3 linked regions of the Caenorhabditis elegans genome follow. The protein of the gene in region 3 purifies or fractionates together with the protein of the main gene of each other region. This does not show direct contact. Each region holds a gene or a part of one and is shown on either strand. Other genes may lie near its edges.

Region 1 (10,071 bases), on a different chromosome or scaffold from region 3:
GACGAACATTTAATTTTTGATTGATTTTTGACAAAAATTGAGATTTTCGCAGTAAAATCTGCAAATTTTTACGGTTTTTTCGCAAAAAACGGTGATTTTAAAGTTTCCGTGAGGCTCATAGACTACAAACTACAAATTTCATGGTTGAGGCTAGCCATTTTTGTAGTTTTTAGTCATGTTTTGCAAATTTATCGTTTTTAAAACGAAAAAAACGAGCGATTTTCAGTTAAAAAGCGTCGATGTTAAGTTTTGGGTGAGGCTACAAACTACAAACTACAACTTGCAATTTTACACGTTGAAAACTAGTTAAATTTAGTTGAGGCTAGCCAATTTTGTAGTGTTTGTAGTCTTTTTTTTTTGTTTTTAAATCACGAAAAACGAGCGATTTTCAGTCGAAATAACTGCATTTATGTTTTGGCTGAGGCTCACAGACTACAAACTACAACTATACATAGCCTCAACCAATGTTGAGGCTAGCAAGGAGTGTAGTTTGTAGTGTGAGCCTCAAATTTGTGACGAAAATTAGTTTTTCATTCACTTTTTGATGAAAAAATGAATAAAAGGATTTTTGAAGTAAAATTGGGAATTTTAAATGATTTTCCGCAAAAAACGGGATTTTTTAAGTTTCGTTGAGGCTCACTGACTACAAACTACAAATTTCATGGTTGAGGCTAGCCAATTTTGTAGCTTGTAGTCATTTTTGCAAAATTTTCATTTTTAAATCACGAGAAACGAGCGATTTTCAGTCGAAATAACTGCATTTATGTTTTGGGTGAGCCTCACAGACTACAAACTACAACCTTCATGGTTGAGGCTAGCCAATTTTGTAGTTTGTAGTCTGAGCCTCAGCGTGTTCAGAGAAAAATTATAAAATTTTTTGGATACTTTTTTAAATTGAATTTACACCAGTTGGGGTTTTAAATAAGACAAAAAAAACAATTTTAATTTGTGGGGAGGCTCAGACTACAAACTACAACTTTCGTGAGCCTCAGTGCCTAATAAAATTGTAGTTTGTAGTCTGTGAACCTCAACCAACCTTCGAAAAAAAATTTTTAAGTAAAAAATGCGCAAAATTTCTGATTTTTTTTAGGTTTTCAAAGCATTTTCATCAATTTTTATGATAAAAATTTACCTGATAAGTCCAATAAACATCGATCAAATAGCTGCACATTTTATCCTTATACAGCATAGTTTCCAGCAATTTCCCGGCCGTCGCTCCCGAATATTCCACGTTTTTCTTCACTTCCACATCAATTTGCGGCAATTTACACAAGAATCGCTCGTTGTTTTTCGACATAATTCGCACATAATCATCGGATAGCTCAGTGTTCCCTGTTTCCAGTGTTGGTGGATCTTTTATTGTCACCGAATCACTTGTAAATGACACATAATAGTGAATAGAATCATCGATTTTCTCAGTTTTGTAAAGAGAAAAGAGAAGAAATAATAGCGGGATAGCTTTTGTCGGCCGAAATAAGCCTGTTGAAACCATTTTTTGAAGGTTTATCACCTGAAAAATCGATTTATTAGCATATTTTTGATAATTTCAGTGAAAAAAATTAAACGGAAAACCCCATTTTAATGCTCATTTTCGGTTAAAACACGTGTAATAGTGTAATAGAAAAATAATGTTCAACGCGAATTGTCGTCAAATAGGGTGTATTTGGTGCAGACACCGTGACGGTAAAATGCACACTTTTAATTTTTGGAACCTTTTTCGGAAATTTCCAATTTATTTCAACCTTTTTTGAACATTTTCGGGATGGAAACTGTATAAATTTTTGATTTTTTTCTCCGAAAATCGATAAATTTCGATAAAAACCCTAAAAATCGCCATTATCCACGATGCTAGCCCACGATTTCGTCAAAAAAGACGACAGAAACTTCACTCCAACGCAATCTTCGAGGTTTGTTGATTAAAAAAAATATTAAAAAGTTTTGAAAATTACAGATCAGCGTCATATTTCGTTGTGCTAGTGCTCACCAAAATTCTACGATGTATTGGAGTCTTTTTCGTGGATATTCTCGCGAAAAGCTCGCATATTGTGAATCTTCTGTGGCTTTGTAAAATAATGTACGGTTTTTAAAAATTTTTTTAAAATATTTTACGCAATTATTAATTTATTTAATGATTTTCAGATGTACATGTATCCTATTCCCCCTGCAAAAGCCTCTTTCAGCCGGAAAATCACTGAAAAGAGGCATAATGCCCATGGTTTTGAAGCTTTCCCTGATGAATAGCGTTATCGAAGTATTCTGGTTTTATGGAATCACACTTTGTGGACCATTACGGAGTGTTCTTGTCTTTGAGCTCAGTTCAACTGTGCTTTTATCGGCGGTTGTCTCATTTTTCAAGGGCGGAAATATGTCAACTCCCTCCAAAACACGTGGATTTTTCCTGTTAATTGTCGGATTTGTGGCGCTTTTCCTTATGGATAGAGACGGAACTATTGAGGATCCACATCGTAAGGATTTGGCGCTTGAAATTCGAAGAAATCACTGAAAATCAGTGTGAAAAATTGGTTGAGGCTATGAAGAGTTGTAGTTTGTAGTCTGTAAGCCTCAACCAAACTTTAAAATACCTATTTTCACCAAAAATAGCTTAAAATTTCCGATTTCCCAGCGAAAATGTTCATTTTTTCATCAAAAATAATGCACAAAAAGCTTTAATAATTTCCGAAAAAAAACATTTAAAAAAATAAAAATTGGTTGAGGCTATAAAAAGTTGTAGTTTGTAGTCTGTGAGCCTCAACCAAACTTTAAAACATCAGTTTTTCACTCAAAAATAGCTTAAAATTTCCGATTTTACTGCAAAAAATATCATTTTTTTTTCATCGGAAATTGAGTAAAAGGTTTTTTTTATTAGTTTCCAAAAAAATTTTTTTCATTAAATCAGTGTGAAAAATTGGTTGAGGCTATAAACAGTTGTAGTTTGTAGTCTGTGAGCCTCACCCAAACTTTAAAATACCCATTTTTCTTCAAAAATCGCGATTTTTAGTTAAAAAACCGAGAAATGAACCAATTTTTCGTTCAAAATCGCTATAAAATTTTTACATTTTAATTTTTTTTTTCAAATTTCCAACTTTCCAGACACCACCCACGCCCACCACAGTGGCCTCAACCACCTCTTCTATCATTTAATTGGACTTTTCGGAATGGCTGATCATAAAGGAGGTCTATGTATTCTGCTAATCTCACTGCTTCTCCGTACCGGCTACGAGACGTCTTTCCGGCATTTAGCTGTAGAAGTTGGCGGTGCAAAGAGGCTTCACACACTTGTTACGGTAATAAAAATTATGGATTTTTCGTGAATTTTAACCCGAAAAAGCATAAAAAATTCCGAAAGAATCACACATTTTCTGCTGGATTTTTTTTTCTGTAATAGTTTCTAAGATATTATTCCTTTAAAAATTCATGAACCGAAAAAAACATTTGCTATAAAGTTATAAATTTACGTAAAATTTTAAGTTTTTTCGCGGAATGTGTCTGGAAAAAATTAGGGAAAATTCGACAGTTTTGGTGAAAAACTGAGAAATTCGATTTTTTTTAAAATTTATAGGAAATTCCCTTTTTTTTTTTGGTTAAAAATTGGAAAAATTCGATTTTTGACGTAATAAATTAGGGAAAATCGTTTTTTTTTGAAGTAAAAAATTGAAAGAATTCAAATTTTTAGGTAAAAATAGGGAAATTCGATTTTCGAAGCAGAAAATTTAAAAAAAAAGGAATTTTCTGGTTAAAAATTGGAAAAATTCGATTTTTTTTAGTGAAAAAACTGAGAAATTCGATTTTTTTTTTAATTTATAGGAAATTCCATTTTTGTGGTTAAAAATTCGAAAAATACGAATTTTTCGATCAAAATTTTAGAAAATTCGATTTTCGAAGTAGAAAATTAGGGAAAATTCGAATTTTTGGGGAAAAAATTCGATTTTTTTTAATTTATAGGAAATTCCCTTTTTTTTTGGTTAAAAATTGGAAAAATTCGATTTTTGACGTAATAAATTAGGGAAAATCGTTTTTTTCCGATCAAAATTTTGGAAAATTTGATTTTTGAAGTAAAAAATTGAAAGAATTCAAATTTTTAAATAAAAAATAATGAAAATTTAAATTTTCAGGCTGGAAGTGCTGTCTGCCTAACGCCTGTAGCCGTACTATCATGGGCTCTTTCCTCAAGCTCCGGAGCTTCGATAGGCTATTTCCACTACGCTGCTCTTCTCGTAATCATTGCTGTATTTGTGTTTGTACTCGATTTCTACGCTGAAAGTATATGCTTCCAACACGTTGCTGATCCAGTTATGGCTGCAGCTCGTTGGTCCTCTGTTACCATGTTCTCGTGTGCATTTGGGCTCGCATACCTTTGGTATGGAAGCCAAAATCTCGGAGATCATGCGTTGACTGGCGGTGTTTCGATCACTGTTGTTTGCTTTATTTTGGGTGCGTTTTTCTCGAAATTCTAATCAAAAAAATGCTGAAAAATCCCTGAAATTGGGATTTTTCGCACCAAAATCCGATTTTTTTGAAAAAAATCGACTTTTCTGGCTGAAAAAATTATTTTTTTACCTTAAAAATCGAATTTTCGCAATTTTTTAACATCAAAAACCGGATTTTCGCTTGAGACCCCCCCCCCCCCCCACTACAAACTACAAATCTTGATAGCCTCAACCAAAGAAAATTGGGTGAGGCTTAGAGAGTCGTGTAGTTTGTAGTCTGTGAGCCTGAACTAAGCTCCATAAACCCGTATTTTGTCGAAAATATCTTGAAAATGTTAGGGTTTCTTGTTAGATTTAAGTTTTCCGTTCGAAATTTAGGAAAAACCCATTTTTTTGCGTTAAATACTGGTTGAGGCTCACACTACAAACTACACTATTGGCTAGCCTCAACCAAAAATTGGTTGAGGCTATGAAAAACTGTAGTTTGTAGTCGTCACAGCCTCACCAAAAACTTTGAATTTTGAATTTTTTTTCACTAAAAGTGTAACTTTTGCTTTATTTTGGGTGCGTTTTTCTCGAAATTCTAATTAAAAAATGCTGAAGAAAATCCCGAAAATCTGGATTTTTCGCATCAAAAATCCTTTTTTTTTTTGTGAAATTCAGCATAATTTTAACGAAAAATCGACTTTAAAATAGAGAGATAATGAAAAATGCAAAATTTGCTTCTAAAAGTTTAAATTTTTGAGATTTTTCCAGAAAATAAATTGAAAAAAAATGTATCTAAATTGTTGTCGGGTTTTTTACCGAAAAAAAATCGAATTTCTCAACTTTCTTAGCTAAAAATTTGAAATTGTCCAATTTTTTGATAGAAAATCGAATTTCCCAAATTTTTTACCTAAAAATTTAAATTTTTCGGAATTTTTCACCGAAAAAAAAATAGAATATTTCAAGTTTTTTATCGAAAAAATTGAATTTTCCAACTTTTTTACTTGAAAATTTGAATTTTTCCAATTTTTTTTTACTTCAAAAATCGATTTTTCCCTCATTTTTTTTAAGCAAAAAATCGAATTTCCCAAATTTTTTACCGAAAATAATCAAGTTTTCCTCCTAATTTATTAATTAAAAATTAGAATTTTCCCAAGTTTTTTACTCAAAAAATTGATTTTTCAAAATGTTTATTTTAAAAATTGAATTTCTCGTATTGTTAACCTGAAAAAAAGAATTTTCCAATTTTTTTAATTGAAAAATTCGAATTTTCCCATATTTTTTTACCAAAAAAAAATCGAATTTCCTTCAAGTTTTTTCCCGAAAAAAATTCGAATGTTCACGAATTTTTAACCAAAAAATCAAATGTCCCAAGTTTTTTACTTCAAAAATCGAATTTTCCAAAGTTTTTTATCGAAAAATTCGTATTTTTTCAATTTTTAACCACAAAAAATGGAATTTCCTATAAATTTTTTAAAAAAATTTAAAAAAATCGAATTTTCCCACATTATTTTTCCAAAAAAAAAATCGACTTTTCCAAAATGTTTCCAGTTTTTTACCTGAAAAATTCAAAATTTTCCAAATTTTTGCAGCCTCAATCTCGCTGACACACTCGAATCAGCCAAAACACCGAGGTGGTCATTTCGTTGGAATCTCGAATACAGGACTACCATTATTCACGTATGGAGAAGCTTTCCTGCAGAGAACCTCCAAATCTTTGATGCTTTTTATGAAGGAAACCCTAAATGAAATCCTTATGAACAACGATTCCCGTCGGATATTCTGGTTTCTTTGTGTGAATCTTGGCTTTTGCGGAGTCGAATTTCTCTATGGATTCTGGACGAACAGTTTAGGATTGATTTCTGACGGGTTTCATATGCTATTCGATTGTAGTGCACTTGTCATGGGACTTGTTGCGTCGGTTATGGCACGGTGGCCACCTACGAGACACTTTACATTTGGTTTTGGACGTGTTGAGGTAGAACAATTGGATTTTTCACCGGAAAATTCAGAAAACTCGAATAAAAACTATCAATTTTAGAGCGAAAAGTGAAAAAAGCAGCAAAAAAAATCGAAAACTCGGCTGCAACGGCAATTTTCAGTGCAGAAAAAAGCCTACTATTTTCTCAAAAATGTGGTGAAAAACTACGATTTTTGTGAAAAGCCACAAAAATAGTCCGAAACGGCCAATTTTTGTGCAGACAATTTTTATTTGGTTTTTTTGCGTATTTTCCGGATTTTTATACATTATAGACTCTTTTTTACGGAAAAATGTTACGATAAATGGGAAAAAAAAAACGTCTTTAAAGGTGGTGTAGTCGAATTTTTTTAAAAAATTGCTTTATCAGACTTAAAATTGTCTGAAAACACCGAATTTCATAATGAAACTTCTTGAAAACTTTTCAGAAAAAAGTTATGACGGCTCAAAAAATAGCCTAAAATTAGTTAAAATCGGAAATTTGACCGACTTGTCAATGTCGCAGCCGCTGGAAACTGTTTTTTTTGAAATCACCATCAAATTTTGAGTATACAATGTAATTATCTTGCGTTTTAAACTTGATTAAGGTATTTAAAAGTCGATGGACGGCGAGTTTTGGTTCAAAAAAAATAAAAATCTTGCCGTCCATCGACTTTTAAATACTTTAATCAAGTTTAAAACGCAAGACAATTACATTGTATACTCAAAATTTGATGGTGATTTCAAAAAAAAATTGTTTCCAGCCGCTTGACAAGTCGGTCAAATTTCCGATTTTAACTAATTTTAGGCCATTTTTTGAGGCGTCATAACTTTTTTCTGAAAAGTTTTCAAGAAGTTTCATTATGAAATTCGGTGTTTTCAAACAATTTTGAGTCTGATAAAGCAATAAAAAAAAAATTCGACTACACCACCTTTAAAGACGTTTTTTTTTTCATTTATCGTAACATTTTTCGGTAAAAAAAGAGTCTATAGTGTATAAAAATCCGGAAAATACGCAAAAAACCAAATAAAAATTGTGTTACAGTTATTAATAATGCCCTAGGGGGGGGGGGGGGGGGGGTTCTGCACAAAAATTGGCCGTTTTGGACTATTTTCGTTAGGAAAACATGCATTTTTGCACGTGTTGACCTCATTTTTGTGAAAATAGTGATTTTTTGTAATTGCTTAATGACCGTTTCGACCAACAATTTTTAAAAAAGAATTTTCGCTTTATATAAGCATTTTTCACTTGAAAAAAACAACATACAACATTTTGCACACAAAAATTGGACGTTTTGGACTATTTTTGTTGCTTTTCACAAAAAAATATGCAAAAATGCACACTTTCACTGCAAAAGTGGTGCAAAAGTCACCTACAAATATTAGTGTAAAATACACAATTTCTATCAAATTTTGATAACTAACTATATAATTTTTTTTTGATGCAGATTCTCTCCGGCTTCATCAATGCCCTATTCCTATGTGTTATCGCGTTGTTCATCCTTATTGAAGCACTCGAACGACTCTTCGATCCACCAAACATCAACACTGATCGTCTTTTATTCGTCGCAATTTCCGGACTTATCGTGAATCTATTCGGAATGTATTCTCTCGGAGAACACGGACATTCTCATGGTGGTGGATCGAGTCATGGTCATTCCCATGGTGGAGGTGGTAGTCATGGACACTCTCATGGTGGAGGAGGAAATGCGAATATGCAGGGTGTATTCCTTCATGTTCTTGCCGATACACTTGGTTCTGTATTTGTGATCATTTCGACGTTACTTATTCAATGGTTCGGATGGGTTTGGGTTGATCCGTTGTGTTCGTTGATCTTATCACTTCTGATCATTGGATCAGTGTATCCATTGTTGGTTTCATCGATTAGTACGTTGTTGCAAGATGTTCCGGAGGAAGAGGAGTTCGAGTATCATATTAATGAGATTTTGGAGGTATATCATTGTTTTTTTTTTTGGAAATTGGTACTGTAGGGGTACTATAGGAGTACTGTAGGGTGTTGTAGGATTACTGTAGGGTTGCTGTAACTATAGGGGGGCTGTAGGAATATTTTGTTGGTACTGTAGGGGTACTGTAGGAGGGTTACTGCGTTGGTTGTGTAGGATTACTGTAGGAGTTTTGTAGTGATATTGTTGGAATACATAATTTGTTATGGTTATGTATGGGCTACTGTACGGATACTGTATTGATACTGTAGGGATATCGTAGGAATACTGTAGGAATACTGTAATAGTATTATAGGGGTATCGTAGGAGTACTGTATTAATACTGACGGAGTACTGTAGGAATACTGTATTGGTACTGCCAGAGACTGTGGGAGTACTGTAAGGATATTATTACTTATGGGGATATTTTAGGAATACTGCATTGGTGCTGTAATAGTATTATAGGGGTATCATAAGAATACTGTACTGTTGAAATTAATTCATCGATCCTTGAATTTCGCAAAAATTTTTGTCGCACAGAAAGTGGGGCGGAGCGTAACTTTCGCAATACTGCCGCACGGTGTTTTTGTACGCCTCTTTTCCAATGATTTTCTTGTTGATTTTTTCGAATAAAGTTTCAATTTTACTTGTCTTTTCGTTTTTTCGATTTGGATAACGTTCTCATTCGAAAAAAAAACAAACGAAGAAAGACAAATAAAATTGAAACTTTATTGAAAAAATCAAAATCATTAGAAAAGAGGCGTACAAAAACACCGTGCGGCAGTATTGCGAAAGTTACGCTCCGCCCCACTGTCTGTGTGACAAAAATGTTCGCAAAATTCAAGGATCGATGAATTAATTTCAACAGTAGAGTATTCTTATGATACCCCTATAATACTATTACAGTACCAATACAATATTCCTAAAATATCCCCATAAGTAACAATATCCTTACAGTACTCCAACAGTCTCTGGCATTACTACTGTAGGGGTACTGTAGAAGTAGTGTATTGGTACTATGAAGGTACTGCATTTGTTATCGTTATGTATGTGGTACTGTAGGGGTACTGTAGTTCTAGAAATATTGTTTTTTTTAGTTTCTGCGAGTTCCTAAAAAACATCGTGGAAATTTCTGCAACTTTTTGAAAAAATTCAAGAATTTTCTGAATTTCCTTCAGAACTGTCCGAAAATTTCTGAAACGTTCTAGAAAGCTGTTGGAAATTTTAAGAAACTTTCTGAGCTTCTGAACAAAAAATTTAAATATCTGAAAAAAAACCCCTTAATTTTTGCACAGATCGAGCACGTAGAATCGTATTCAAATGCACACATGTGGCAGCACAAATCGGATATCAACGTGGCAAGTGTACACGTTCAAGTGAAAGAAGAAGCGAATGCACAAATGATTCGACACCGTGTCTCGAATATCCTGAAGAGCACTGGAGCCACCCACTCAACTGTACAAGTTGAGAAAAAGACATTTGCACACAGGATACAACAAGTGTGTCCTGGATATAAAGCTGGTTATACGGTACGGGATGCTTTGTTGCTTAGAGGACAAAATATCTTTAAAAATGACAATTTTTCAAAAAAAAAGTTGTTTTTTTTCAGGAAATGTTTTATTTGATTAAATTTAATAATATTTCTAAAAACTACAAATTTCTGATTTTTTTGTTGAATTTTTTCATTCGAAAAAAAATAATTTGGAGCATTTTTTGCCATTTTTATATTTTCGATAGTAATAATATATAAAGTATTAAA
Region 2 (10,623 bases), on a different chromosome or scaffold from region 3:
TTTCACATCACTGGGCGGCGATGAGTAATACAACTAAATGTGGCAAAGCTTCTTCATTGTTTGAATAATGAAAAACGAATACAAACAACTTTGAAATCAAAACATTAAAACTTACAACATTTCGTTCAATAAAGTATCATCAAAAGAAGAAAACAAAAGCTGAACATGAGAATTTGGGATAAGGAGCAGCAGATCGGAATTATGTGAGAAGCACGCGGAAAACAGGGATATATAAACGGGGTAAACGGGAAAATTTAAGCGTGGCAATCATCTCCTCCAAGTGGCTCTTGCTTGTCAAGTTTGATGAGGTCATCAATACGCAATATCGTAATGGCTGCCTCAGTGGCGAACTTCAGAGACTTGACCTTACTAAGAGCTGGCTCCAAAATTCCAGCCTCCTTGTTATCGCGGATCGTGCCTTCTTCGAGATCCAAACCAGCCCTAAAAAAAGAGTGAATAAACTGACTCAAATTCAGAAAACATGAATTAGACGCTTTTTCTAAGCACAAAACGAAATTTTTTGAAATAAATTATTTTAATTTTATTACATTAAGCTAACATGTAATAACCTACTCTTTAAAAAAAACATTTTCACTTACCACTTGAGGTGTTGAAGTTGTGGGATCAATTGAGCTTTGGAGTGGTACGCGCGGAGTTTTGTCACTAAATCAGTAGAATCTCTTGCAGCATTGCTTGCCAAAACCTTCGGAATGATGAGAAGCGCTGAAGCGAATTCAGCAACAGCAAGCTGCTCGCGAGAAGACAAGGTTTGTGCATAAGTTTCAAGGAAAAGACTGAGAGAAGTCTCAACAGCACCTCCTCCAGCCACAAGTTTCTTGCTTTCCAGAACTCTACGAACAACACAGAGTGAGTCGTGAACCGATCTCTCCATTTCATCGAGCATCACATCGTTCGCTCCACGGAGGATAATGCTGCTGGCAGTACGAGATTTCGGTCCCTTGATGAGAATGAGCTCGTCGTCACTAATTCTTTCTTGAACAATTTCATCGGCATGTCCAAGAAGCGAGGCATCGAAAGCTTCATCTCCTTCCAAAGTAGCCAAGGAAACAGTCAATGTGGCTCCAGTAGCTTTGGCAATTCTCTTCAAGTCTGATTTCTTGCATCGACGAACAGCCATAGCTCCAGATTCGACAAATTGCTTCAAGCACAAATCATCGATACCTCCAGTTGTAAGAACAACGTTGGCTCCGGCTTTCAAAATTTTATCAATGCGGCGTTTGGTAATATCGAATTCTCTGAAAATTCCATAGCTTAAAAAGAAACGAATAGTTTCAACTCACTCTCTGCGAATAGCCTCAAGCTTGGCTGGATCTTCAACAACGACTGAAATACCGAGGTGCATCTTAGCCTTCATCAAAGAGAAATCGAGACATGCGATCTTGGCATTTTGAACACGAAGTGGCATGGCCTGACTGGCAACTGTGCAATTGAGTGCATATCCTTTCACCAAAACTGATTCGCGAGCGCTCTTTCCGTGGGCCTTCAGAACATTGACTGCATTGATAGGATAAGTGACTTTCCCGTTATTTTCCACACGAACAGCTTCCGCGGCATCAACAACCAGCTCTCCGAAGAAATCGGCGTCTCTGAAAAATCAATTTTCTTGAAGCATAGACAACACCAAACTCACGGTCCGATAATCTTACTGCTCATGGAAGTTTTGGCAGCGTTGACAACTGATTGTCTACCAATCGAGTCGGAAGTGAATGAGATGTTTTCACTAATGTACTTGACGGCTTCCTTGCACGCGAGACGGTAACCATTGATAATAGTCGTCGGATGAACTTTTTGTTTCACAAGCTCATCGGCTCTCTTCAAGAGCTCAGCCGCCACAATAACGACAGAAGTAGTTCCATCTCCGACCTCCTCGTCTTGCAGCTGTGCAAGTTCTACAAGCACTTTTCCAGCCGGATGCTCAACCTCGAGTTGTTTCAGAATTGTGGCTCCGTCATTTGTGACAATGACATCTCCAACATCATCGACAAGCATTTTATCAAGTCCGACAGGGCCAAGAGATGACTTCACAATATTGGCGATCGCAACTGCCGCGGTGACTGCAATTAATTAATGTATACTTATATTGAGCTTTCGGTGTTACCATTCTGAGATCTGATGCCTTGTCCAGTAGTTCTTTTACCGGTGAGGGCAAGAATGGAATCTCCAGCTGATGCCATTACCTGAAACACAACCGTATTAACTTAGCAATAGAGTAGGACATTCGATATTGAGTCAAAAAGGGGCTTTGAATAAGCACTCAAAAATAAAAATATACGTAAAAATGAAAATATTTCAGTAAAAATAAAAATGCTTCCAGAAAATCGGGGATCCCTTGAATTCTGAATCAAAATTAAAATTCTTGTAGAATATTCTCAGAGCGCATCGTACTTCATGCATGCTAGAAGGGTAATCGTGCCGAGACCCAACACCAGCTGTCACTAGGGCGTATTTGCAACATTGTTCCCACCCGCGATTTATTGCCGATAAATTAAAAATAAAATTGTTTCCGCTAGTCCTTTGCAAACAAATTTGTTTTTTTTGTTTCCTCTTGTAATTTTTATAAATATTTTATTGGTCTATAATTTAAAATATTGAATTCAGATTTCTAACATTTATGGAGCCGCCATGCACATCAGACTGCAGCCAGATAAAAGTAAGAATTTTGATCAGAATTGTTTTTTATTAAGCCAGTGATTAAACAGAAATAATTTTCTTCCAGGTCTTCTACTATCTCGACGATGAAACGACTCCCTATGTTTCTGTTATTGAAGCCAGAGAAGGAGTAGCGACGCTTGGAAATTTCAAAAATTCATTCACCAAGCGTGGATATAAGTATTATGCGAAGGAACTTGACCCGGATATTCAACGGTGAGTTTTGGCTTTTTTAATTTTTGTAATTATTCTGTACTGAAAAATGTTCAGAGAAGTTAAAGTCGAATTAACAACTGATTCGGATCGGCTGCGCAAATCCCAGAATGGATTTTATGAGATTTTTCTCGTTAGCACTCCAGGATATGGAACTCTTCCTCGAAACAGTGGAACAATGACGCGACCACAGAGAACTGCTCTAGATAAGGTTCGATTTCTGTTATTTTCAAAAAAAACTGATATTTTAAGCGCCGCCGACGAAGTGCAGACTTTGACGCGACTCCGTACTCTGATGCTAGTCTTGCTCCGAGCACCATTGTTAGCAGTGAGTTTTTGCTATTTATGTACTCTTAAAAACCTGTATGAACGTTTTTCAGGAAGAGCAGGAGAGCATCTGGCAGAATTATACACTTCAAATTCAGAGGATCCGTATCAATATGACGAGCATACACGTCGAACAGGAGATGATTCTTCGCTCTACGAACCTCTCGCTGCTCGTGATATGAATAAGATATACGATGACGATAGAAGAAGGAAAAAACAAAAGAAAGAAAGATTCAGAAGACCGTATGTTCCAAGTACTATTAGCTCAGCGACGGAATCAAGTGTTAACAGCGGCCTCCCTCGAATTCTGGAAATTTATCTACCAATGAAAAATGTTCCATATCTGGGACTGAGCGTGTGCACAATTGATGGTCATATATTCGTTTCCGAAATTGCACCAGAAGGTGCCGTTGAAAAAGATGGACGTGTGAACGTTGGTGATCAGATTCTTCAAGTTAATAGAGTATCCTTTGAAGAACTCAGTGGGCCTCAAGCAGTTCGTTCGCTCAGAGAAGCTGCATCCTCCAAAAGGTATTTTTCTACGCATTAGCATTAATTTTTTTTAATTTTTAGACCAATTACTCTTTATATCAGTAAGTTTGCAAGAGGTGCCCCAAGTGAATATGATGATCCACTCGCGTCCATGGCGTCTGAAACGATGCCCCTCGACGTTGGAGTTTGGGTAGAAACCGCTGTGTAAGGGTACCTCGCAAGATTTATTTTCTTAATTTGATACTTACAGGCAGAACACTGAAAAAATGAAAGCTCTGGGTTTGGATCCACAGGAGCAAACGGCAACTACAATTGATGACGGAACTCTTCCATTTACATCGACAGCTTCTGATGATGAGGAGCGAATGCTTTACGATCAACGTAGAAATGGAATTCCAAGAGCTTTGATTGAAGAAGCAGAAAGAAAACGAGAAAATGAGCAAAATGAAAAAATAGAGCAACTCACAGAAATGATTGATCCCATTATTGTTGTTCGTTCTATGGCTCGTCCGGATTCAGGATTAGCTGTCAAAAATCGAAAATGGCTGAAAATTTTGGTTCCAATGTCTTTTATTGGTGAGTACTGAACATTCAAGTATTAGGATCCAAACAATCAACGTTTAGGCCGAGATCTAGTCGATTGGCTCGTTGATCACATGGCTGATATTCATAATCGGAAGAAAGCTAGAATCTATGCTGCGAGATTGTTAGCTGCTGGTCTTATCAGACATGTCGTCAGCAAGTTGACATTCACAGAAAAGTGCTACTATGTATTCGGTGATGGAATTCTTGGCAATGATCGTAATTCCACGGACACCACTGGTACGAGTGGAACTACAATGCGAGTTGAAGCAACTACTGAAGTGACGTATGTTGGCTCACCAGCACCACATGCTCTGGCAGCACGAGTTGGAAGAAATATTCCTCATCGATTAGAAACCACTACTCTAAGCCCAGTTGCTCATGACCAAACATGGCTTCGAAGACGTCGAGATTGTGAGAGTCCTATGACAAATGATTACGCATCGATGGTCGGAGAAAGCCAAATTGGAATGAATCCAGTCGGAAATTATCATGTTTTTGGGACGAAAAATAATCACCGTCAGGTACCGGCACCTTCTCAAGTGACATCCTCAAGCTTGACAAACGGTGAGAAAATTAATCGTTTCTATAGGGTGCAGGAGTTAAATTTGAAGCAAATATTCATTTCAATTGATATAGTATTTGCTGTTTCTTGACTACTGTACCCTTTGTATCCAAATGACTTTTCACATAACAGTATTTCCCCAACCAAATTAGTTACAAATTCCAGGAAGTGGTGGCTTAGGAGGCCCTCCGCCGACTCCTCTATCCAGTACTATGGTTCTAGCAGCTTCTCCGATTCAGTCGCAGAACGCAGTCAACCACGATTTCGACGGGGAGAACAGTAGCAACAGCAGAACGCGTATTTTACGGACTTAAAATTTAAAACTCATTGCCTTTACCGATTCTCGCCTTAATTCCCACATGCTTTATTAATATTTAAAACTATGCCCTGTTTTCATGTATTTCAGTAAGACTAACGTTTTCATTCATTCATGTAATTTTGAGTCTATTTATGAATTATTTTAAATTTCTTCATGACGATGTTCACTTCGAAAAACGATGTGTGATGAAGAAGACTTGGACAGCACCGAAGATAGTTTTAGACATCCATTCCGAGTAGTATGCAGTATCCTTCGTAGTATCCCAGGAGCACATGTTGGCCGTGCAAATTGCAAGATTATCGGTTTTTGCAGAAATAGTACAATGAACCAAAAACTTTTTGCTTCCATTGAGCTTCACTAAATTATCCGAAATTGTTTGGATCATCTTGCTCATCCAATCAGACATTTTGAATGGAGAATATGGAGTTTTACCAATTATTGAATCAAATGATTTTTGAATAATTAAATCAATTTCTTGTTCTTCGGCATTTGAATAGACTTTCTTTTTGAGTTTCTTATTTTTCTTTTCAATCAATTGTCTCAAAAGCTGAGCGTTTTTTGATTCAATTTGCCGCTTTGCTACAGAAGAAGTTGTAGAAGTGTCTAAAATTTCAAATGATGTTGCATAATGTGACAAAGAAAACTAACCTGTCATTTTGAAACAAGGAATGAATGAAATAATTAAAGTTATGCGATAAACATTTGTTTTCTAAATTTGATATATATATTAGAATCTGGTATAAATTTTTTTAACAGTGCGTGTAATTAGAACACGCTCTGAAGGCGAAGTGTTTAGTGCCAATTCAAAATATTACTTACAATTAGACCCGAAAATTTTGCGCTTTTTGTGCCAAAAACACGGTACCTGGTCTCGACACGAAACATTGTTTTTAAATGCAAAAAGGTGTGGGCACAGCATCTCCGACCGGGAGCGAAAAAATTAATTTTATTATAAAATGTGTTGTTAAGTTTTTGTTTTGTTTCCGCGGCTCTGTACCAGATTTTACACTAAAAGTGCACCAGTTTGGAGCACCGGACACACAGAAATTGTGTAATGTTGATGGCGTTCCGTATCCGAAATTGACATGTTTGCAGGGGTCGGTTGAGCTAACAAAGGTGGGTGGTGGAAGACGGAAATACGGTTCGAAGGAATAGTGGGGGGAAAGCTGACTGATTAGCTTGCCATCAGTGATTTACGGAAAATGTTCTGCTTCCTACTATGATTTCCTCATAATTTGAAATTTCATTAACTCTTAAATGTTTACTTAAATGTGATGCGAATTACTCAGAAAATGCACAGTTTTGGAAATGTAGCAAGTGACCAAAACATTTACTGAAAAAAACCTTCACCTTTGAAGTTCCTCTAATATCCAAAAAGTCATCATCAGTCCAATAGACAAAAAGTATTTCCGGTCCGTCATGGCAAGTTTGCCTTTCTCATCACAAACACTTTCTCTCATCCTTTAATTGTTTGTAGATGAGCCGGTCATTAACACTTATCCCTCTTATATCTATCATTCAATAAATCTTTTTGTAATATGCGCACCTCAATAATGTCTACAGACTCTTGATCAAGGTTTGTGGAACGTTTCTTTCTGTTTCCATTCAAACTATTTAATTAGATTTCCTGTAAATTCTGGAATGGAAAAATTTAACTTCATATTCAATTATAACAATGAAAATTAATTTAAAATGGCTTTGTGCAACTTCTTGAAAACAAATTGGAAAACATAGTTATTTTATAGTGAATGCTTTATGTATGCACCTTTATTATATTTCTTTTATTAGTCTTGTATCCTGTTTGCTCTACTTTGACAGCTCTCATGCCGGTTATCTTTGATTTTGTCAAAAGATATTTAACAGCAAAAAGGTATCACATATTTTTCTATATTTTCATAGTCAATTTTTGATATATCGAAAGACAATCGAGATATGAGCTTTCAAAGTAGAGCAGTGAGTTATAGGAAAAATACGGATCTTTTCATAAACTGATCGGATCTGAATTTCCCATACGGAAGCGTCTCTAATCTTGACTCTATTTGACACACAATCATTCAACAGATTTCTTTATTTAATTTTCAGAAATTTCAGATAATATGTCCTAATGGCCTCATATATTCTAAACGCACTTACACTTCGTCACGACCATGACGCAGCTGAACGAACATTGCACCATTTTTGGGATACGGTACGTGAAGGAAAAGTTCCGGTCTCTTTTCGTGAATGAAAAGATTATTTCCACATGATTGGAAGGGTCATTCCCGTTACATTCGTTTTTGAACGGAAAATGAAATTCAAAAAAAAACAGCTGAAGATGACCTAGTCTCGCAAATTTCACCTTTGCATGATAGGATCTAACGAGTGTTGGGCATTTTATTATTGTTATTAATATTATAGACTTACTTTTATTATAAAGTTTTTATAGTAATGAATGACTTTATATTCGATTTAGGTGATGTAAGTTTTTAATGATTAAATTAAAAATTTAGAGTTTATCTAAATTCAGTTTACATACTTCAGAAAGATCTTCTGGATTCCGGGTTAATTGAAGAACATATTGCAAGTCAACCCCTTTTGGCTGCAAGTTTATTTTCTTTAATTTCTTGCTCATTTGGTCTTGTTATCTTTACAATCGTATTCCTCACATGTAGGTTTCGAGGGCGATGTGGATCACAAAAATATCAAGTAAGGTTTCGAGGATCCCTTCTTTTAATATTAATATTTCTAGGAATATCCTTCAAATTCCAACACTTATGCAATATATCTTATGTTATTTTTCATTTCCTGGCTCATCGTCACATCAGCTTCTGCTTATTTTGTTCTCGCTGGAATTGGATTTTGGAGTGAAAAATTGGATGCAAAGAAACCATTTGCTAATGCGTCTCTTGTGGTTTTTTAGACATTTACTCATTTCAAAGTGAAACGTTTATATCCTAATTTTCAGAGATTTTCGAGAAGCACTATCAGTGATCTATTTGCTAATTATGATTATCATGGAGATTTTGAAAACGTTTCTGAGCTGCCCAAAAGTGGGCTGAAGAGAATTCATATTGTGAGTTAGATCCAAATAAAATATTTTTAAATAACAAAACTTCCAACTAAAAAACTATGTTATCAAAAATAACTTTCTTGAAATCTACAAAATCTTTATTCAAAATGTTCATTTTTATTTCTTTCAGAGTAGAAAACCACTTCAAACTTTTCGAAAAAGAATTGAAATTCCCATTCGACCACTGGCCGAAGTTACATTTTCTGGAACATCTGATAAGTTTATTACAAAGAATCGACCAATTATTGATTCAAATTTGAATAAAGTATCAGATGAAAAAGAAGAAGTCGATGACATTATTGTAAGAGATGTTTCTTAAAATGTATGACTTTTCCAGTTTTAATTTCAGAATTTGAGTGGGGACCAAGAGGAAGTTTCAATTCAAAATATGCATCAGCCTACGAAAAAAATTTTAGTGAATCATAAGGATCAACTTTCTGAAATTCCAAGAATTCCTCAAGTTTTTCAAACATCAGATAATTCTGAAAACCTAGATGGTATAGAAGATTCAACAGAAGAACCAGAAAATTCTACAGACAATGAAGAAGCTGAGAATCAATCGAATATTCTTGTGGTGAATGGAGAAACAATGACGATTGAGGAAGAATCTGATTTGATTGATGACGTGGAAAGCGAGGAAACGACATCCACAACTACACCAAGAACAACTACTACTACTACTACTACTACCACAATCACAACCACAACGTCAGCTCCTACAACGATTGCAACTTCTACGCCTATATCCACAACATCAAAAGCCACTACATCCTCAACTCAGTTGTTCCAAGAAGTAACCTGGAAACAAATTGAGGAAACTGATTCCGTGAGTTTTCAATTTTAAAAATGTTATCAAGCATGGCATATCCTCTCAATTGGATCCTTCATAAGTTATCTGTTCTCGTTTCTCATAAGCACGAGATTAAAATAAATTTTCATATAAGCAAATTTACTTGGCTAATTTTTTTAAAACTAATCATTAGCAGTATTTGAAATTTCCAGAACAATGTTCTAGACCAACTTCTCACTCACGCTGAAAACAATGCTGAAATTCCATCTGACAACAGTCTGTCTTACAATCCAAATTTGACGTACTTCAGTCTTCATTCAAGATTGCTCGTTTTCATCTGCAGATTGGCGTTCTGTTTTGTTGCTTTGGCTCTTCTTTTTGTGATATTACCCACATTTTTTCTTGTTGTCGCTGGCACTGGATGTTACATTTATAGTGATCATCCTATGAATCGAAGTAGCGTTTCGAATAAGGTTGACTATAGGTTATTTATGATTGAAAACTAAATTGAAATTTCAGATTGGCAAAGTAGTCTCCGTAAATGCTGCAATCTTGTTATTAATGTCACCATGTATGCTGGTATTTTCATGTTTTACTCTATTCTACACTCACTGTCACGAACTGTTATGTGCTACAATTCAACTTCAAAATCAACAAGCAAGAGGATTAGTCGATACAAATCATCAGAGTCTTATTGAAAATTATTCAATCAATACAAATCAATGTTCTCGATCATTGGCTCCTGTTCAATCTCTGCTCCTTTCATCACTTCTATTATGTATTTCATTGCTTCCATGTGTTTTTGCAATGTTCAAACTTGTGAAGTACTATTTTCGAATGAGTAGTGAATTTTATTGGAATGCTGCTGATAATTTCGCTGGGAGACAATTTTCAAAACAACAGGTAAATTGTCCGTAGAGATGCAAGACTAATAGAGTAGAGTAACTACGGTAACTAACATTTCAATATTTTCAGGAATTCCCCCGTTATCAAAGTACAGTAATCTATCCAGATGATGAAGTTACAACTGGCTATGCAGTTTATGGACAGATTTAAATTTTTTTTTCGTTTTAAATGGAGACTACGGGTTCCCAAATGTATTTTTAATTAAATGGTTTATCGAGTTGTAATAAATTTTTACTGAATTATATAAAGCTAGAAATGTTTCTAAATGAAGTTTCTCGGCAGATCACATCCTGAAATATCACTGCTCGGAAGCTCTGAAATCAGTCCTATTTGTATACAGGTTGATGTTCATAAAATATTTGAAAGTTTTTTTCAGGAAAAGAAAACACATCGTAAGTATCTATTTGTCAAGTGAGTGCTTTCTCTCTTTTCTTTGTGTGGTCCCATGGGGGATCAGTCACTAATCCTCCATTTCAATCGTCCATGTGTTCACCCTTTTCCTCTTTACTTTTCAAATAGGAGGTCATCATCAATGTCTTTTGTTTTCTTTATTTTATTAACTTTTTATATTCAAGTGAAAGGAAGTGTAGACGAATATCGACTTTTACAATATTTGAAAGAGGTATGGAACATTGTATTGCTCGTGCAAAAATTATAAGGTTTTAAATGTATAAGTTTGGAGACTTTGCTTTAATTTTTTCAAATAACTG
Region 3 (9,298 bases):
AACTTCATGTTGTAAATCGCAGAGAGTGATTGTAACTCTGGAAATGTGATTTCCAAGATCCTGAAGTTGTTGAAGTTTCCATTGGACGTCGGGTTGTGCGACTGCTCGATAATATCCACCACCAGCTTTAGGATACTTTACGGTCACTTCAGCTTGAATAACATTGTCGTCCAGAAGTGTGACTGCTGCCTGAAACAGTTTTATAGATGAGGCGAAAATGTTTAAATTTATGAAAATAATTAAGGGCGATTATTTTTTTTAAAGACTGCCGACGAATTTCCGAAATTTTTCGTTGTGAAATCAAATACTCACCTTCAGATTATCAGAGCTACCAGTTCTCGACATTAGCTGATATTTTTCAGTCGTTCCATGACTAACGGCAACGTTCAAACGTTCATCGCATTTAGCCGATAAATTCAATACAATGCAGCAGGCTTTCAGATGTTCCAGCGCACTTCGCAAAGTCGTGTCAACATCTTTTCTCTGTATCCAAAGGTTTTCGTTGGTTTTGTTAGAGCGAATTGTGTCACGGATATCTGTTAAAAATGCACTTTGATAGTTTTTTAATTAAAAACCCAAAATGCTTACCCTGCGGATTTGGAGATGCGGGTTTCGGCGGATAATTCGTGGTTATTGTAAGACTTTGAACCTCCATTGTATTGCAGAAAAAATCAATAAAAATGATAAAATTCCACAAGAGAAGCTGAAAAAAACCCGAAAACGGGTCGCCGGGCGGCAGTGTGCAACAGAGCGCGTTTGCTTTTGTTTGGTAAACGTGAGATTTTCAACATTGCAAGACCTCTGGGAATAAAAAAAAAGTAAAAACGCGGTTTGTAAACAAAAAATTCATTGAAGTCAATGAAAAACCCAGCAATTGCTAGCAAGAATTAGCAGAAAAAAAACATAAGCGATCAATTGCTACAGTACTCTTTCCTTAAAGGCGCGTGTCAGAACTGAGTCTTTCGTTGCGAGACCTCTAGTACAACAAAAAAGTTTAAACATTTACTGTATAATAGAACTTGAATAGCAAAAGCTCAAAAATAAAGTGAAAAGTTATGAAAATTGTGGTTTACAATATTTATTTTCAAAATTTTTTTCATTAATTTTTTTCAATCCAAAGTTCTTCAAATAATTTACCCTTCCCGTTGACACATGTCAAAATGTTCCGAACGTGCGATTCAATTGATGGTAATAAATCATTTTCGATACAGGAGGAACACATCTGGTTAGATGGGAAAATAATTGCTCACGGAGCAGCCGGGATATTGAGAACTAAAGGATTGATAGGGTCGTTGAAGAAAAGTTTGAGGTTTTATTAATTGGTTGGACAACGTGGTTACCAAGCTCTCATATTCTTTTTCATGGAAAATTATTAGATGGCACCATTTTGATTCTAAAATGACCAATTAGTATAGTGAAACTTTTCAAAAAAAATTGAAATTCATTTAGTTTTCAATCAAAAATCATTTTCGCTACTTATAATTTCGGAAGTTGACCAATTTAATCAATTTTTTAAGAAATCATTTTAAATTCTGTTCAAATATTTGTACTCAAACACTTTTGAGGTTCAAACGTGCCAAATTGCTCTACATTTTTCAAAAAGTCCACATTTTTGGAAAATTTGGCATTTTGCCAAAACTTTAATTAAGAGTTTTCAAATATCAGAAAAAAACAAATTGAAGTGATTTTTAATGGTAATAGGCCATTTTTGATCATTATATGTAAGTGTACTTAGACCAAATTTTAATTGGCGCTTTTAGATTACTGTAAATTCCCTTCAGAACTTTCCAATGTGATTTCTATTTAGACGCCTATGCGCTGGCCTTTCAGGTAGCCTACGCCTGTCTCGCGCCTAATAAAACAGATGTGAACACAAATCGAACACTTTTAAAAATTAAATCTTACAGTTAGCTAGAAACAACGTTGTTTCTATTTTTCAGATTCTCCTGTTCCGATTTCGATATATACTTTGATTCAACACAAAAGTAAAACAATGAGTTTGCAAAACTGTGCAAAGAAACTTTATAGCTTCGGAGTTTGATTCCCTGTTTGCGGGGTGATCTTTCACGCATAGAGACTACTATAAAACATCCCGGTTTGTCGGAAAAGTCACGATTCAGTCAACCGAGTCAAGGTAAGCATTCTCACTTTCAAGTCTTCTCAAAAATCTGAAAATTTCAGTATGAACTTCTACAACATCTTCATTTTCGCCGTTCTCTCAATTGCCGCCGTTTCTGGACATCGTTGCCGTGGTGGAAACAACTACGGAGGAGGTGGCCGTGGAATTGTCATTGGAACCGCCAAGGAATAATTTGAATGATTTGTTGACCTTGTGTTAATGATAAAATTGTGAGCATTTCAAATCTTTTCTATATTAACTTGTTGAATTGGCATTCTAAGCGTTCCATGCAGGAACCAAAACACCTGCTTGGCCTCAAGGAAAACGCTGCATGGTTTGGGCCTAAATCCTCAATTCCTATTTTATTCTTTGATCAAAATTAGAAAATTAGAATTTCGTAAACTCACCCAAAAATTGAGAAAGGAGGCGAAAAACAGGAATGGTTTCTATTATCAAAGCCCTAGGGTATTAAAATAGTTTCTCAGGGCGATTGGCTTTTAGTATAATTTATAATTTTAAAAGAGTTTGGTATATGTATAATTCATTTACTTATTTACATTCATATTGCTAGCTAGATTTGCAAAATATGGAAAAATTAGTGGAAAAACTGACTGGAATGCTGGTCCTCCAGTCATTCCACCAACACTATTCATTTCAATTCCCTGAACTTCACACTCTCGAAAACCTTTTGCAAATGGATTTGATTCGATTTTCAGACTTGTTATCTGAAAATGTTATATTTAGAAGCTGTAAATACACAATATTTAAAATCACCCGATGATTTTGATAAGCTGTAACTGCAATAAATTCAGTCTCTTCAAAAGAAAAAGTGTGCCGCTTTTGTGAATCATCTTGTTCAATTATGTGAACTCTTGGACGATATTTGTGCATTGAATTCACAATTATCTAAAACACAATTTCCAAAATGTGCTAGACAAACTGTGTGTGACTTACATGTCCATTGTTATCCAGCTGATTGTTTGTTAGCTTCATTTTATCAAAACTAACAGGAGCCCGCATCCAATGAGCACCACGAGCTGGGGAGTCCGTGTGAACAAACATTCTGCTCGGGAGTTCACTTTCCCCTGAATTTTAACAATTGGTATATGAAAGTTCTCAAATTTTTTAAAATTGCGAATTCAGTGGGGAAACTGTTTAAAACCACTTATACGGTGTTCAGTAGTTTAATTACAGTCAAAAATGTTTCAACTATACAAATTTTGGAAAAAAAACCAAAATTGTGTTATACGAATTTTATACTTTTTTGCAAACATTTTACGAGGGTTCCTTTTCAATGAAACAATTGGCTAGTTAAAAATCAAATATTTCCCAACTAACTTCACTCAAAAACAACCAACCTGGACCGGTAGAAATCCATTTGCTTTGATGAAATGAATATCGAAAACGTTTCATTTCAATACACTCCAAATCTACCATAACTACATAACTCTTCACGGGATCAAGACCAGCGATGATGACTGATAAGGTAGGAAACATTCTTCTAAACACTGTCATGTAGAGAACATTTCTGGTCAATATTTTGAACTAAATCAGCCGTAAAAACGTTCTATATTAAACTTTTTTGTATTCTATTTTTCAGTTCAGAAAATATTAATCTACTCCTTTTTTTAATTATCTGGTAAAGGAAATACTTCTGATCTATCAACGGCCAACGTTGAGAAATGTGGTGAAAGACTATTTGGGTAAAAACTGAAAATGTAGATGAGAAACTTCAAGTGAGGATGCTATTTTGGATTTAAAAATTACAAATCTTAGAACTTTGAATTTGTAGCCATGAATCTTATACCAAGGCAGTATTAAAGAGTGACTAATAAAAAGATAAAAATCTCGCAGTTAAGTTTAATACTTTCCACTAACCTTCCACTTTTAGTAACAATCATCTCTGTGCCAAGATTATGAAAACGACGCCATAAATTACTTGATTGTAGGAAAACTCGAATAAACTTACAATTATCCTTAGTGATTATTTGCTTTCTCTTTTCAACTGGTTTTCTAGCCAAAATAGCATCGATCGAAAAGTTTCGATTCATTTTTGGATGTTATAGAAGCAAAAAATATATTTAAAAATGAAGTGGCTGTGAGAAAGAAGACGAGTGTGAATACTTCTGAATGGTGAGAGGTCTCGTCGACACGGACTTGGTGATTTCCATATGTTCGGTGTTTTTCAATCAGAGCTCGAAAACTTTCCCTCCACCTCCTCCTACATCTGGCACCCGCAGTTTGTCGTCGTTGTCATCCACACTCGTTTCTACCGTAATCCGTCAATTTGCCATTTCATTCTCGTCATCCACAAACACGTGGCGGTGAATGTGAGGAAGATGAAGAAGCCGTGTGCAATTTGAGTGTGTTTTACGATCATTTTATTCGATTTGATTGGAGTGGGTCTGATGAGGGCGAGATATGTAAGAACTTCTGTGATATTTGTAGAAATTATGAAAAAATTATATTTAGATTAATTGTACATCAGGGATTCAAAATTTTTTTTCTTGATTCCTGGAAAGTTTCACTAATAATAAAAAATTTAAAATTGAAATACTGTTTGAAATAATTGAATAGAGTTTGATTACAAAAACAGTTTCCGGCTAATTTTGATCGATTCTCAGAAATTGTCTGATATAATTTTAAAAACTCAATTCTTTTCAGACACAGAAATCCCTGAGTTTTTTCATTTCCTAGTTTTGAAAATTGCATATTGAGAAACATTTTTCACTTTACTTGATTTATCTTGGACTGTTCCGAAATTCTGAAATATTTGAATTCCTTAATGTTCATCTAGCCCGAGTTATATAATAAAATTCAAAACTCTCTGCATACTTCTATTTGGCCAGAAAAACATTGACGAAGTTCCTGAATATCGTTCAATTTGATAAGAAGTTTGGAAAAAATGTCCCTTGAATGTATCAGTCAATTTGAGATAGCTTTCCATTGCAGTTTGTTCAAAATCAAAATGCTCACAAATTTATCATTAAAAAAAATCAACAACTGTTGAATTTATTCCTTGGCAGTTCCAATGACAATTCCTCCACGTCCACGACCACCTCCGCTGTATCCACCACGGCAACGATGTCCAGAAACGGCGGCAATTGAGAGAACGGCGAAAATGAAGATGTTGTAGAAGTTCATACTGAAGTTTTCAGTTTTTTTTAGAAGACTTGAAAGTGAGACTGCTTACGTTGACTCGGTTGACTGAATCGTGACTTTTCAGGTTTGCGGAGAAGTTTTTATAGTAGCCATAGTGAGGTAAAGATCACCCCGCAAAAAAGAAATCAAACTCCGAAACTATAAACTTCTGATCTTTTCGTTTCTTTGCAATCTTTGCAACTTGCAATTTGCATCCAAAGATCTTTTACGCACAAAATACATTCAAAACTCCGGTATAAAACCGACACCGAAACCTTTGAAAATCATCAACTTTCCTTTCAGTTTTGAAAGCTGCTCCTGAAAAGGTAAACATTTCTTTTCTAAACTCTAATTAATTCAAATATTTCAGTATGAACTTCTACAACATCTTCATTTTCGCCGTTCTCTCAATTGCCGCCGTTTCTGGACATCGTTGCCGTGGTCGATACAGCGGAGGTGGCCGTGGACGTGGAGGAATTGTCATTGGAACTGCCAAGGAATAATTTAAATTAAAACTTTCAAGTTATAATACAATTTTGAGCATCCAATTTTGTGTTGTCCTTTTAAAGATACGGTAGTTTGAATGCCAAGATTCTGAAAAAAAAACGGAACACAGGATCGTCCGGACGAAATCCGAAAAATACTTCTTTCGGAAAACCCAGAACTTCTTAAAAGTCGATGTATGCATAGTGCGTTCACAATGTCAATTATGCTATGCTCCCAATGGGCATTCTTGTCAGTCGCACATTGATGAAATGTCTAGATCACAGAAAAAGTGAGAAAATTTTATTGAAATTCATTCGAGTGACTTGACAATATATGGTTCTCTTTCCTTGTAGATCGGCCCTTTGTAATGTTGACTTTTGGGATCCCAATCCGGAGGCGATTTAGCAGAACAATTGTTAACCTGAAATTATGTAATCACAGAAATTAAGTTTTTAAAATTAGAATGAACTCACAATGGCTGCAGCTTGAAGATGATGATAAACAAAATCATAATCGGGAATACTTGAATACGATAGTTGATCGAGGTATAGAAGAATGGCACTCATTTGTTCGTAGCAACATTTGCGGAATAACTGTAAAATGATATGTAATAACTAAAGGTTTCGAAAAAATAAAACTCACAAACTTGAAGTAGGTCTCATCCGCGCGAAGTCGCCATTTCATTCCACGGACATTATCACGATCAGTTCCACGAAATTGCTTCCATGGAATGTCGAATACAATCATTTCAGCAATCATGTACCACCACGACTCAATATCATCTTTGCGAGATTGTTCTTTCTGAATTTTTGAAATGTTTTTGAAAAATAAAAATTCGAGCTTACATTATCATGAGCTGCTAACGCTGCATATCTTGTAGTTCCACGGAATGCACATTCCTTTCTTGGAGTTCTCAAGTCCTTTCCCTTCATGGCAATCTTTCTACAAAGTCCGAAATCCAAGAGAAAGACTGTATGGTAGGTATCATCTTCCTCTCTTCCGATTGCAAAGTTCGGAGGTTTGATATCTCGATGCAAGAATCCAACCTGTCAAGTTTCAATGTTTATTTCAAAACATTTTGTGCGTTTCAACTAACCCTGTGCAAATCTCTCAAACCAGCCAAAGTCTGCTCAGCAATTCTGAGAGTCGTCGTCAATGTATACTTCTTATCGGGAAGATGAGCACGCATGTCCCAAAGATTCATTCCGACTAATTTCAGAACCACGAACAAAAATCGATTGTTGACAATCCCATGATCTACCATTTCCAGAAAATGAGGCGATTTAAGATGATTCAAGGCAAGCAGGACACCGGCTTCATGGGGAAGAATTGCTCGCTTCATGTTGACCGACTCGCATTTCATTGCGAAATGGCGTTTGTCAGATTTACGAGTGACACCAAAAACTGCCCCGAATGATCCTTGTCCAAGTTCAGAGGTGAGCTAGAAAAGAACATATATATATTGATTAATAGAACAGGTTCACAGTTCATTTGCGAAGTACAAATAATGCCTCAGTGAGCACCGAGGATACATCACTACCGATTTTATAGGCGACGTATGCATCGCGCATTTCAATATCCAATAGTAGACTAATCAATAGTCTAAGTCATTAACCAAAGTTTTGTGTGGCGGTTTCAGGCTCAACTTCAAGATTTTTTCCCCCATTCACCTCATAAGTCTCAGTGGCCGTGTCAATCTGATTCTCTCCCTGCTTGAAACGTGGCATATCTTTCTCTTGAGCCTTTTTATTCTGAGCTCTTGCCAATTCAGTCTTCTTTCCATTTCTCTCCTTTTCTTCTTTTTCCTTATCTTTGTCAGTCTTTTTTTCTTCTTCAAATTTTGGTGTTCTCGGCATTGACTGCATCAGCCTGCTATTCTCCATTTTTTCAATCTGAAATTTAGTTTTTAACAAGTTGTAAAAAATCATGAAATTATGTTGGGGCGGGGAAAGCGAAGAGGAGTGTTAAAGCGCCCCCGTTACGCCTCGACAGCGTGGAATGTATAGTTCTGGGTATTTATCAAATTTGAAAGAACTTACTTGTCTACCGAAAAGAACAAACTCAAAAGCCGCAAATTTGGAGAGTCTAAATTATGAAATGATTGGAAAAACGAGTAAAACCAATGTTTCAACGGGAGACGAAAAAAAAACCAACGTGCTAGAAATAAAAATAATTGAGGGGATTACGTAAATATTCTTAAAGGTGGTGTAGTCGAATTTTTTTCATTGCTTTATTGGATTCAAAATTGTCTGAAAACACCGAATTTCATAATAAAACTTCTTGAAAACTTTTCAGAAAAAAGTTATGACGGCTCAAAAAATGGCCTGAAATCAGTTAAAATCGGAAATTTGACCGACTTGTCAAAGTCGCAGCGGCTGGAAACAATTTTTTTTGAAATCACCGTCAAATTTTGGGTATACCAGTTGATTATCTTGCGTTTTAAACTTGATTAAGGTATTTAAAAGTCGATGGGCGCTTTTCAATTTTTTTGAACAAAAACTCGCCGTCCATCGATTTTTAAATACCTCAATCACGTTTAAAACGCAAGATAATCAACTGGTATACTCAAAATTTGACGGTGATTTCAAAAAACTTGTTTCCAGCCGATACGACATTGACAAGACGGTCAAATTTCCGATTTTAACTGATTTTAGGCCATTTTTTGAGCCGTCATAACTTTTTTCTGAAAAGTTTTCAAGAAGTTTCATTATGAAATTCGGTGTTTTCAGACAATTTTGAATCTAATAAAGCAATAAAAAAATTCGACTACACTACCTTTAATAAATTTTTACCAATTTTATCATTATTGTGAACTTATGAGACTATTTTGAAAAATTCAACTGAAATAATTGTTGACAATGCTCTTGAAGAAGCTTTATTGCATCAAACAATATATAGCAAATTTATTTTTTATTTTTAAACATTAATCTAGAAACAATGCTCAGTAGTATCTTGAACATTCACATAGATTGCCTTTGTCTGAGTATGAGCACGAAGAGTATCGATACAATTTTCACGTCCATGTCCTGAATTCTTGAATCCTCCAAATGGAACATTTACTTCAGTGTCATTATAAGTATTAATGAAAACAGTTCCAGCTTGAAGGCGAGCAGCGACACGGTGTCCACGAGCAAGATTTCTGGAAAAAAAAACTTTAATGAAAACTGGTTACAATTCATGAATCGAAATTTCAATAGATTTGACTGATTTACCCTGAGAATACTCCAGCAGCCAATCCATAAGTTGTATTATTTGCTCTTGCAATAACTTCCTCTTCTGTTTCAAATGGTAAAATGAGCATAACAGCTCCAAAGATTTCTTCTCTAACAGCTCTAGCTTCATCGGAAAGTCCAGTAATTATTGCTGGCTCAAAATATGCTCCACCCTCGACACCAGTTGGATGCACACGAACTCCTCCTCTCAAAACGACTCCACCTTCTTGCTTGGCACTTTCAACGTATCCAAGAATTCTCTGAAGATGCCCTTCGTTGATATTAGCTCCAACACGAGTGTCTTCAAGAAGTGGATCTCCAACTTTAAGTTTATCATTAG

What was found.
Region 1: the proteins of mls-1 (region 3) and slc-30A5 fractionate together in Caenorhabditis elegans (co-fractionation; one large-scale study listed by BioGRID). This does not show direct contact.
Region 2: the proteins of mls-1 (region 3) and T05C12.4 fractionate together in Caenorhabditis elegans (co-fractionation; one large-scale study listed by BioGRID). This does not show direct contact.

Annotation. Positions count from the first base shown.
Region 1 is NC_003279.8:14,356,817-14,366,887, forward strand, and holds the start of slc-30A5 (Proton-coupled zinc antiporter SLC30A5), read left to right. Parts: upstream 1-1,745; 5' UTR 1,746-1,845; coding exon 1,846-1,907; intron 1,908-1,951; coding exon 1,952-2,074; intron 2,075-2,139; coding exon 2,140-2,465; intron 2,466-3,090; coding exon 3,091-3,284; intron 3,285-4,112; coding exon 4,113-4,431; intron 4,432-6,004; coding exon 6,005-6,390; intron 6,391-7,817; coding exon 7,818-8,321; intron 8,322-9,607; coding exon 9,608-9,841; intron 9,842-10,071. Other genes in the region: Y105E8A.2 (Endoplasmic reticulum lectin 1), read right to left, coding at 1,133-1,492.
Region 2 is NC_003280.10:8,177,018-8,187,640, reverse strand, and holds T05C12.4 (uncharacterized protein), read left to right. Parts: upstream 1-7,259; 5' UTR 7,260-7,272; coding exon 7,273-7,356; intron 7,357-7,688; coding exon 7,689-7,853; intron 7,854-7,896; coding exon 7,897-8,058; intron 8,059-8,112; coding exon 8,113-8,220; intron 8,221-8,347; coding exon 8,348-8,518; intron 8,519-8,566; coding exon 8,567-9,043; intron 9,044-9,219; coding exon 9,220-9,480; intron 9,481-9,526; coding exon 9,527-9,910; intron 9,911-9,982; coding exon 9,983-10,063; 3' UTR 10,064-10,123; downstream 10,124-10,623. Other genes in the region: T05C12.8 (ANK_REP_REGION domain-containing protein), read left to right, coding at 1-28; cct-1 (T-complex protein 1 subunit alpha), read right to left, coding at 255-441, 600-1,256, 1,302-1,607, 1,652-2,075, 2,120-2,195; Segment polarity protein dishevelled homolog mig-5, read left to right, coding at 2,633-2,671, 2,738-2,886, 2,941-3,094, 3,136-3,211, 3,264-3,741, 3,784-3,906, 3,953-4,278, 4,327-4,851 and 1 more; dylt-3 (DYnein Light chain (Tctex type)), read right to left, coding at 5,332-5,771, 5,817-5,823; acr-14 (AcetylCholine Receptor), read left to right, coding at 10,446-10,535.
Region 3 is NC_003281.10:7,455,280-7,464,577, reverse strand, and holds mls-1 (T-box transcription factor mls-1), read right to left. Parts: upstream 4,238-9,298; 5' UTR 4,171-4,237; coding exon 3,998-4,170; intron 3,621-3,997; coding exon 3,478-3,620; intron 3,205-3,477; coding exon 3,074-3,204; intron 3,026-3,073; coding exon 2,894-3,025; intron 2,845-2,893; coding exon 2,665-2,844; 3' UTR 2,644-2,664; downstream 1-2,643. Other genes in the region: H14A12.3 (Protein rogdi homolog), read right to left, coding at 1-189, 313-536, 589-655; fipr-20 (FIP (Fungus-Induced Protein) Related), read left to right, coding at 2,183-2,311; fipr-18 (FIP (Fungus-Induced Protein) Related), read right to left, coding at 5,132-5,263; fipr-19 (FIP (Fungus-Induced Protein) Related), read left to right, coding at 5,632-5,763; Y69F12A.1 (Protein kinase domain-containing protein), read right to left, coding at 6,057-6,167, 6,220-6,339, 6,389-6,547, 6,592-6,792, 6,843-7,187, 7,417-7,629; alh-12 (Aldehyde dehydrogenase domain-containing protein), read right to left, coding at 8,675-8,885, 8,959-9,298. UniProt on the Caenorhabditis elegans protein: Probable transcription factor required for the cell fate specification of non-striated uterine muscle precursor cells. Furthermore, may function with the transcriptional corepressor unc-37.